Linked DNA regions of Arabidopsis thaliana. The protein of the gene in region 2 interacts with the protein of the main gene of each other region in a pairwise test. Each region holds a gene or a part of one and is shown on either strand. Other genes may lie near its edges.

Region 1 (4,888 bases), on a different chromosome or scaffold from region 2:
TTGGAATCATTACTCCTTATAACTCACAAGCCAGCCTCATTCAACATGCCATTCCGACAACTCCTGTGGAGATACATACTATTGACAAATATCAGGTTTGCCTCTAGGACCTACCGTTCTTCTTTTCATGACTATCTTGATTTGGCAAGTGCTCGATAACCAACGTTTGATGAGCTCACATTTTGTAGGGAAGAGATAAAGACTGCATATTGGTATCTTTTGTGAGATCGCGAGAGAAACCAAGGAGCTCTGCTTCTTCACTGCTCGGAGATTGGCATAGGATCAACGTTGCTTTGACACGAGCAAAGGTGAGACTGAGAGAACAACTGATGTGGTGTTGAGTAATGTTGTTTATTCCATCGATCATTGATTGAAATTTGTTTGGGTTTGACAGAAAAAGCTGATAATGGTGGGATCACAAAGAACACTCTCAAGAGTTCCACTTCTGATGCTTCTTCTAAACAAGGTTAAGGAGCAGTCAGGTATCTTGAATCTGTTGCCGGGAGATTTAAAACCATAACAACTCATCAAGAAACGTTTCAAATATCACAATTTTAACTTGTATCTCCATTTTTGTCCAAAAGGAATGATAATGTATAATCGATTTACTTTCCGAGTCTGAATTTGTTGATAAGAAAGAAATCAGGAGAGCATGAATCACTTGCATAATGACATGTAACAGAAAAGCGGAGATATTGTAATGATGGAGAAGTTTCATTTGAAGGTTAGCTCAGTTAACGTTATGACAGTAGATTTTGAACGAACAAAGAAGTTTGTGTTTGTAAAAACATTCGCATATTGAAGTACCATATCCAGGACTCTTGTTACCTTTAAGAACTTATAACAGTAAATCAACTCTTTTTTATTCATGAAATAATAAAAGTACGGAATTTTCTCTGTTTTCTGTCTGAATTAAAAATGCTTTGAGCCACACTAAGCTCATAGGTTTTTAGCCACACACCAGAAGATACACACAACTACCAAACCCAGGTCTAAGGTTGGACCTCCTTATTACATCAATCTCTTCTTTGGAAACGTAGCAGCTTTAGCCCTGGAGACCAATGATGCCTGCGAAGTCATAGACAAAAGGTCAATCAGTTTGATAATTTTACCATTCAGTTGGACCCCCAAAATGCAAGATAATAATAGTCAATAGATAAACCAAGATGAACCCCGAGTTACCAGAGAATCAATGGAGTCTAAGGTGACAATGATGGTAATGATCAAGATTAAATAGAATATACATGGTTTTCACAGGAGATGTGAGAAAAATGTAATTTTGTTTTACTTACCGCAAGCAACACGGCCGCCTGCGTTTCCAGTAGCCAGGCTGAGTTCATGGCCTCCTGAAATGTAAAACACCAATGACACTAGGTTATAAACTGTTCTTAGGATGGATGTTGAATCATAAGCATTCTACATTGGATGCCCTCAAACGGACTGGCTAACTTTTAAATTCTGTTAGCATAATATGGGTAAATAAAATCTCAAGAAAATAAATGGTCAAAGGTCATTACCCTTTCCGAGGTCATCAGGGTCTGCATGGACAACAACAGCCCTACCAACAATAGAGTTTGGTCCAGTAAGAGGAATCTGTTAAGCCAACACAAAATGTATCTTAAGAGATTGGTTCACTACAGCAGGTTTGGATTAGGAAAAAAGCATAAAAAGGTACACAGCTATAAACCTGGCAATCAGTGATTGTGAAGGTGGCAGTTCCTGAGAAAAGCAAAACAAAAGCTTTTATGTAAATCCATGAACACTACCGCTGGTCAAAGGTGACAACTGTACTATACAACTAAGACTGCAAAATCAAATTTGAGAGAGTAGCGAAATTTGATGCAAAACAGCTCTAAATAAGCTTGAGATGAGGGATACAAATGTTGAGAAGGCATACCATCATCTCCAACAGTGATGTTTCCTAGATCACCAGCATGTCGATTAGCATCCTCAGGGGCACCGTGTGTTTTACCATCGGGGTTGAAATGTGGACCTAAAATAGGAATTTAATAACAAGTTCAGTTACTTTTGGCGATAATTAAAGTTCCCAATACGAAACATAAATATAAGCTCCAAAAGTTTCTAATCCATTGAAAATTTGCAGAGAGGTATGCATAAGAGTTACCAGTAGACATGCAACCGTTAGTGGTGTCACCAAGAGCATGGACATGGAAACCATGAAGACCAGGCTTAAGGCCAGAAACTGTTCCACTCACAGTGGTCACACCTGCAAAAAACCCAAACAAAGAACTCAATCATTTGAGAGGAAGGAAAAAAAAGATAGGCTTCAAAGATCTTATAAAGCACTCTTATAAAGAACTACCATCGCCTTCCTGGGTGAAAAAGATAGTCCCCGTAACACCCTCACTGCTGTTCAAAACTGCAACTCCTTTCGCCATTGTTACTTGGCCTTTGTGATCTGTAAAAACATAAACATAAACCAATACATATACAAATAAGTAAAGATCCAGAAAAAAACAAATGGTTCTACACAACATTAAATTAGCTCAACAGACAAGAAACAGAATTTGAAAACCCAAAAACATCAATCTCAACTAAGCTTTAATACGCACCAAAACATAGATCCTAATCCCATTATAAGAACACATATACCAGATATTCAACGATCTAAGCCATAATAACTCTTACTAGTTCACATAAAAAGGTCAAGGCATCTTCAGAAGAGTGTGATACATCCAAAGAAAACAAGCAAAGGAATCGGTAGATCCGCCGATCATAAATCGAAAAAAACATTTCCTCAAAGATCTATACGTAGATTCGGCGGAGTTGGAATCGGAAAAGTTCGAAATCAGCACAGACGAGGACAAGAATCGATTTAAGAATCCAAAGTGAAGAATCGATCTAAGATTTGAAACAAATTAAAACCAAAAAGGAAAGCAAACATACCTCAGGAAACCCCTTTGGAAAGAATCAAGTGCTTGAGCTATCAAAAATGCTGAATTTTCTCTCTGAATGTTTTTGCTTCGTCTCTCTTTGGTTACTTGTTTTCTATATAGCCCACGAGGTCCAAAAGCTGGGTAGGTACGTACGTGATTAGCATTAATTTATTTCTTACTTGAAAAAAGCCACGTCAGGATAATCCAAGATAGACTTTTCCTAAGTTTGACTCTTCTCTGCTGATGTGGTAAAATTTGATTGGATAAATACTGTAAAACATTAAGTTTAAGTCATCGTCATTGAATTTAAATTACGTATGTCGTATAATTATTTCTAAGACGTTGGCTCAATTATAAATTTCATAAAATCTTAAGAACTAATTTTAACAAAATACAGAAAATATCATTTGTATTTTTAATAATATAATCTATAAACATATATATATATATTTATGAGAGTCTGTCAAATTTGTATGTAGCTAATTTCTTTGGAGAAGAAGAAGGGAACCTTTGATGGATTTGTAATGTTAGACTATATATGCCTATCTAGATGCATGCATCTCCTAATTAACCTAGCTAGCTACAAGAGGTTAAAGATAATGGATGATCACCTATAAGTCTAGAACGTTGATATATAAACTCTGTTATGCGTATTATATCAAAATTTTGGCATATTATTCTCTTTGCAGGTGACATGATATTTGTATGTTGTTTATACACTAGAAAAAAATATTGTGATTTTGTTCCACTTCCAACCATCAGAGGCACTATTTATGCGTTCCCAAATTGTTATCTCCATAACAAATACCTGATTGTTTTACGACTATAACAGCCAATGTATATAAAAGACTTAAAAACTAAAATAGGCTGCATGGTCAGTGATTGCGCTTAAGAAGTTTTTAGTCATATTTTTTGTTTTGTCGTTCCGTATAAATTTTGGCTTTAAGAAAAAGACAGTGACTTTTCACCCAAAAAAAAAAAAAATACTTCTTAATGTTTTGAGATATTAGTAATTGCCAATCAGTGAGTGTAGTTATTTTCATTATGTTCATTTTAGCTTGTTAAAGAAATTAATATAGGATATTAAGCCGAAAGTGGATGATGCTCTTGAATTGAAGTTAAAAACAGTCTGCTTATCAAATCTTAAAAATCATGCATAACGTGGGTGCTATCACTGAGTTTAAATCTGATACAGACTGATTCAACCATTTGGAAGCTAATGGAGGAGCGGCCGGCTATAAGCTCTCCCCAACACAACACACACAAAGATTGCAACATGATATATAAGTTATAGGCAGCCAATGAAGCCAATGGATAAATCATAGAAACACCTGAAACGTAAGAGGTAGCTGGACAGAGATTACAAACCGATCCAGACTGAGAGATTCAATATGGAAATATAGGAGATTTGTGAATGTTAGAATAAGATTATGTTTTCTATGCATCGACATATTACAAAGTAGAAAGATATTTTGGGCCAAATTACCAAATCTCTATGAGAGTATAATTAGGATTACGTATTCAAATCTCGCCTTTGTGGAAAGCGAGAGAGATGAATGGGAAAAGCAAAAGATAGGAAAGAAATTAAAAGGGAAGCAAAAGAAGTTGGTGATCCGAATCAGAATCACGCGTGTAATCCTCTCAAAGCATTCATATTACACTCATTGAAAAAAGAAAAAAAGGTACATATTCACAATCACATATATATATTATTTCTGGCATCTAACGTCGAATGTAATCTCACTTAATTTTTTGTTTTTTACGATAATTGTTACAAAAGTATCGAAAAATAGTCGTCAGAAATTATAGTTTACTAAATTGCTGTTAGGTACAACAGATATTCACCATCTCTGAATCTCAGTACCATACTTTTTCTTAAAAAAAAATTCAATTTTAATGTGTTTGAACACATTAATACATTTCCATACTTGGCCTTCACTAAGATTAGTTTTTGCACTTCTCTCTTTCTCTCGATCGCTGCTTCTTCGTCG
Region 2 (5,230 bases):
CCTAGAAGAACATACACAGAGAGAGAGAGAGAGAGAGAGAGTTTTGAATTGGGGATTTACCTGCCAACAATCTGAGCTAGGGTTTTGATGTAGCTATCAATGATTTCATCTCTAGTAGGCTCACCCTGAGGTGGCTCCACGACGACAAGCCAGTGCTCGAAATCGCAACCATCGAGCAGGATCGTCTCCTTAGGTGGCCTGTTCGACCAGTTGGGATTCGGGTCGTTCAGAGAAGACGATGTAGCCTGCGTCGAGAGACCTTTGACAGACACAAGGCCGCCACGGAAAACGGAGGAAAAAGCGGCGACCAGAGGACGGGACCGGCTGAGCAGAGAAGACGCCGGAGATTTGGCGAGAGGAGCAGATGAAGCAAAGGATCGCGTGAACAGAAACGAAAGAGATTTCGCCGGTCGGCAAAGAATGGATCGAGAAATGGTATGCGTCGCCATGGAAGCTCTAGATTGGGCTTCGCAGATAAAACCCTAGGAGAGAGTGTGAAAACAGATGAGCTAGAAATGAAATCAAGGGTTTTATGAGGGTTTAATAGTAGATTATGAGTCGAGGGCATTTTAGGTATTTCATAACTGAACTGGACAGCGAAATCTACGGTACTACCCCCTGATCTTATCAGATTCAACAAAATTGCCCCTATTTTACCTTAAGTTACAAATAAACACATTTTCGCCAAGAAATTAGTGACATTACTCTGTTTTCAAATGATAAAAAAGCTATTTTTATACAAGAAGAGAAGACTGAAGATTTTATTTTCACTAAATTGGTAATAATCATATTATTAAATGGTTTACAAATATGAAATATTCCAAAGCTAAACATAGGGGCAAATTCGTATTTTAGAGTTATTGTAAGGTCAATTTGGTGAAAATGTGTGACTAAAATATCTTTCTCCATAAAATAATTTTTTTCTCCAGCACACCCTCTAGCTCTTGCAGAGGTTTAAAGAAAATATCGGCAACATACATAGAAAAATCTCGTTTATTCATTTATAAAGGCATAAAGTTACACACCAATCACTAAGCCAAGCTCATATGTCATATATCATAAAGTAAGTAATTACTAATGGAGAGAGATAACTAAAAGGCAAAGCCTTCTTTTTATTCAAGCCACTCTCATACTTTCATTGTTTGAAATCACACAAGTGTTGCCTTTCCGAGCTGAAGAGCTTTCTCTCGCCCGTAAAACTTTTCGACAATGGCAAGTGAAAACTCCATTGCAGTCCCTGGAGCTCTGCTTGTTATGACATTTCCATCTACCACGACTCTGTGCTCAATGTGACTCTTGTCCGAAAGTTTGTCGCTCACCACTGGGTGAGTAGTAGCCTTCTTACCCTATACAAAACATGTCTCTTATATCTCAGTTTAATGACTTAAAAGATAGAACAAGAAACTACAATTCTAGTACTGTTTGATTTATGCACCTTGAGTAAACCATTAGGCTCGAAGACGTAAGCAGGCGATGCGCAGATTCCTCCATATGGTTTGTTTGCTTCTGCCTGTTTCCTTAACATATTAACTAGCTTCTCGCAGCTTGCGAATCTTTGAGCACCGTTAAGACCGCCCTGTAGTTCATCAAAGAAGTTGGATTATGTTTTTGGTTATTTGTCATCATAGAATATTAAAATTTAATTTAAGACTAAATAGTATATTCACATTTTGGAAGTTAGCAATACTCACAGGTAACACAATCAGATCAAACGACTTCTCTGCAACCTCATCAAGAAGAACTTCTGCTACTAGCTTAGCTTTGCGAGATCCTTCAACTTCCAAACTGTTACCAACTGCAGCAATCACTACATTTGCTTTTGCCCGCCTCAGGATATCTACAAGCGCTATAGCTTCAATTTCCTCTGACTCCTCTGCAATGGGTACGAGAATCTGAAAAGGGAAAACATTATCTCTCTGACTCATAAAAGACTATTGATCAAGAAAGACAAAAGCTTTACAACACAGCATGTTCCTAGGAATCTGTATAACGGATCAAACAAAGCCTGTCTTGGAAAAATGTTAAAAGGGCCAAGTGGAGAGGCAACTGAACATTTACCTGTGGTGTATCTTCAAATGACCAGTTTGTTTGGTTAAGCTCAGTAAAAGTAAACTCCTCACCAGGGTTAGGACGAAGCAGCTGATTTCAAAAGGATAACAAGTAAGTCTACGAGGAGGTGACATGAACACGTACCACAGCGGTTGATAAAAGAGGCAGAGACAAAACATACCAAGATACTGGAGACTTCATCAGCTTTTTCTTTCCCAAACAACTGCTCTATAAGCGTGATGGAGAATTCAATGGTGGTTCCTGGTCCACGACTGGTCACTATTCTTCCATCAATTTGCACTCTTGACTCAACAGCAGTTGCACAAGTAGCCGCAAGTTTCTCCATAAAAACAGGGTAACCCGTTGCCTGCAAGAAACCCCATGTAATAACAAGACATTACAAGGCCTGAAAAAAAGATAAATAAACGCCCTTGGAAATATACTGATCACTTCTGACTTACTTTCTTGCCTTCTAGTAGACCCCAAGTACCAAGAGCCAAGGCAGGAGCACAACATATAGCTGCGTTAAGTCGGCCATCAGAGTCTTGTTTCTTGACCATGTTCTCTAAAGATTTACAGTTTTTAAGAGTCTCGCCACCGGGAAGCCCTCCCTTTTCCCAATCATATCAAAAAGTATATCAGCAACACAATTATGAAATCTTTCAGAAAACAAGAATCTATGAAGTTGTTTCAGAGAACAAAAGTTGCAACAGATACATCTAAAAACCATCGTTCTTAGTAGGAACTATAAACATCACTTTCGAAACTTTAGTTAAGTGAGCTAATTGATAATTGATCGATCCACTTATTGGCTGTCCTTAGTTCTTAGATTACACACAAAGAAACAAAACAAATGGACAATGTTAAATCAGCAGAGAGACTTACGGGGAGCACAATAAGGTCGAAAACAGAGTCGGTAATATCAGAGAGAAGAGTATCAGCGACCATCTTGATGCCATGACAAGCATCAACGCCAACCTGAGTCTCAACAGACGCCACCGTCACGTCAGCACCACCTCGACGCAACACGGTAATCATCGCCACCGCTTCTAGAGGCTCCGTACCGTGCGCAATAGGGATCAAAACCTAAAAGAGACGCCAAAAAACCTTGGATTAATAATCACAAAAAAAAATCGTTACGTACGAGGAGGGAAAAAAGTATGATCTCGGGATCGTGAAACCCCACACACCGTTTTCGTAAATGAAGCCATAGTTGCGGAGATTAGAGAAACGATGGTCGAGTCAAGAAGAAAGAGAAATGGAGTGTAGTGGAGAAGAAAGGAGTGTCACTAATGGGGTTAAAATAGTAGGAAAGACTCAGTGACGAAGCCATTTACGACTTTCCTTTTTATCACTTTAACCAAAAGAAGATAGACGTGTGCGATGACGTAAGCATAAAGAAAAAGAAACTCGACGATACGTGTCGAACATTCATTGGTGGAACGTGGCGAAAGCTTCTTTTGAGTCTTTCCACGTCATTGTATTGGATAAAATCAGAAAAAGCCACTTTGGTTTCGGTAAACTAAGACGGCGTGAAGTTGGCGAGAAAAAAGTATTACAACAACGACATCACGTCCTGGTTCTTAATTTTGTGGAAGCACGTGTTGTCGTTTTTGATACATGTACTTTGTAGTAGAGTAAACCGGACGAACTTCTGAAGAGATGTTTTGTTAATTTTGTAGCGTTCCAATAATTTATGGGCTTTATATGGGAGTGTTAACCGGTCGAAAAAGTACTCCTACCCTTTCAAATAGCTATTAACGCGAAATTTGAAACTACTAGTTAAACTTAACCAAATATGATCCCATAAATATGATATATATACACGGTAAACTAATTAAGAGACTGTTCAGATGGTTTTTGGATGAATCGGTGTATTCAAATTAACACAAACACACACATTTTTCAAAATGGACAGCCTGAAATCATGATTTTTGTTATGATCTCTAATTTCTAACCCAACATGCAACAAACAATAAATGATCAATACCCATTATCCGGTCCAAAGTGTTTTTAACAAACTTAACGTTTTAGATATAATCCAAGGATGTGTGTCAAAATTCACTTATATTGTAATAGACGAAATTAAACTAGATTAAATCACATGTTTGTGTGTTTTAACCATGTTTGATGGCTTCGTTGGGTCCAACATATTCCATTCACAATTAGGATGAAGAAGAATGTCTCAATACAGAAAGCCAAATATAAAGCAAAACACGTGGCTCATGCATTAGCTTCGCAAGCGAGCCGAATTATTTGTTATTGACTTATGTGGATCAAAATTAGCAAATGAGGTCTACCATCTACCCTTTTAAAAAAGAATCGTTTCTTTTTAACCATAGTTAAACCTTAAAAATGAAAAAAGTATCTAGAATTGATCCCCTCTAAATATTTTTTTTTTTAAAAACAAATACTTTCACATAACACAGTCGTTTTCATCGTACTGGTACATGTACTTTTTGGAATTTTCATATATCAAAATCGAATAAGAAGAAACAAAGATTCAGAGCCGTATTCCTATATATAGTTAATACAAAACATGCAATAACTAATCTGTTCACACAACAAAATAGGTTAAAATACGACTTATGTCCATCATCGCATGCACCTATTTGATAGTACAGTATTTGTTATCGTTAAGACACGTAAAGATTCCCCGCGCAAATTACAAAGCATCCAATCCACTTAACAGATATTGATTATACATATTAAGACAAAACCTGTTACAATCGGTGATGACTGAATTTTAAAGGACAAAAACATAAGCTGAAATGATTTAAAACGACAACAGAAGAACAGTTAGAAACCTGGCAATTAAATATGCTAACCTTTTTTTTCATTTTAGTTTGTCTGTTATTTTTGTCAGAACAGTTTTTGTCTGTGGCGAATTTAGTAAAAAAAAACTTTGTCAAGAACTTAAAACCATAGTCATTAATATTGGCTTATAGTGATACGATCGTCATTAACAGGATTAAGAATTTGATAACAGAAGAAAAAAACGACGAATATTTGGGTTTTAATTTGTGTAATTAAACGAATTTAAGTACTCCATATACTATAACTGCTGGTCCGTTGTTATCAGAGAGGAGACAGAATCTTAAGGTGAAAAATGAAGAATGACTTTTTCAGTATAACGAAGGAAAAATAAAATAAAAACACGAAGATGCCTTTTTGGTGACAG

What was found.
Region 1: the proteins of DJ1A (region 2) and CSD1 interact in a protein complementation assay, tested with the Arabidopsis thaliana proteins (one study listed by BioGRID).

Annotation. Positions count from the first base shown.
Region 1 is NC_003070.9:2,825,211-2,830,098, reverse strand, and holds CSD1 (copper/zinc superoxide dismutase 1), read right to left. Parts: upstream 3,040-4,888; 5' UTR 2,908-3,039; intron 2,420-2,907; 5' UTR 2,400-2,419; coding exon 2,324-2,399; intron 2,228-2,323; coding exon 2,126-2,227; intron 1,994-2,125; coding exon 1,898-1,993; intron 1,720-1,897; coding exon 1,688-1,719; intron 1,594-1,687; coding exon 1,518-1,593; intron 1,347-1,517; coding exon 1,293-1,346; intron 1,069-1,292; coding exon 1,046-1,068; 3' UTR 784-1,045; downstream 1-783. Other genes in the region: emb2411 (DNA replication helicase), read left to right, coding at 1-95, 189-308, 395-520. UniProt on the Arabidopsis thaliana protein: Destroys radicals which are normally produced within the cells and which are toxic to biological systems.
Region 2 is NC_003074.8:5,045,540-5,050,769, reverse strand, and holds DJ1A (Class I glutamine amidotransferase-like superfamily protein), read right to left. Parts: upstream 3,395-5,230; 5' UTR 3,261-3,394; coding exon 3,240-3,260; exon of another isoform or gene 3,238-3,239; intron 3,182-3,237; exon of another isoform or gene 3,136-3,181; coding exon 2,935-3,135; intron 2,661-2,934; coding exon 2,511-2,660; intron 2,417-2,510; coding exon 2,231-2,416; intron 2,140-2,230; coding exon 2,059-2,139; intron 1,893-2,058; coding exon 1,692-1,892; intron 1,577-1,691; coding exon 1,436-1,576; intron 1,347-1,435; coding exon 1,149-1,346; 3' UTR 799-1,148; downstream 1-798. Other genes in the region: RIP1 (cobalt ion binding protein), read right to left, coding at 61-449. UniProt on the Arabidopsis thaliana protein: Involved in oxidative stress response. Confers protection against diverse stresses by binding both CSD1 and GPX2 and mediating the cytosolic activation of the Cu-Zn-dependent superoxide dismutase activity of CSD1.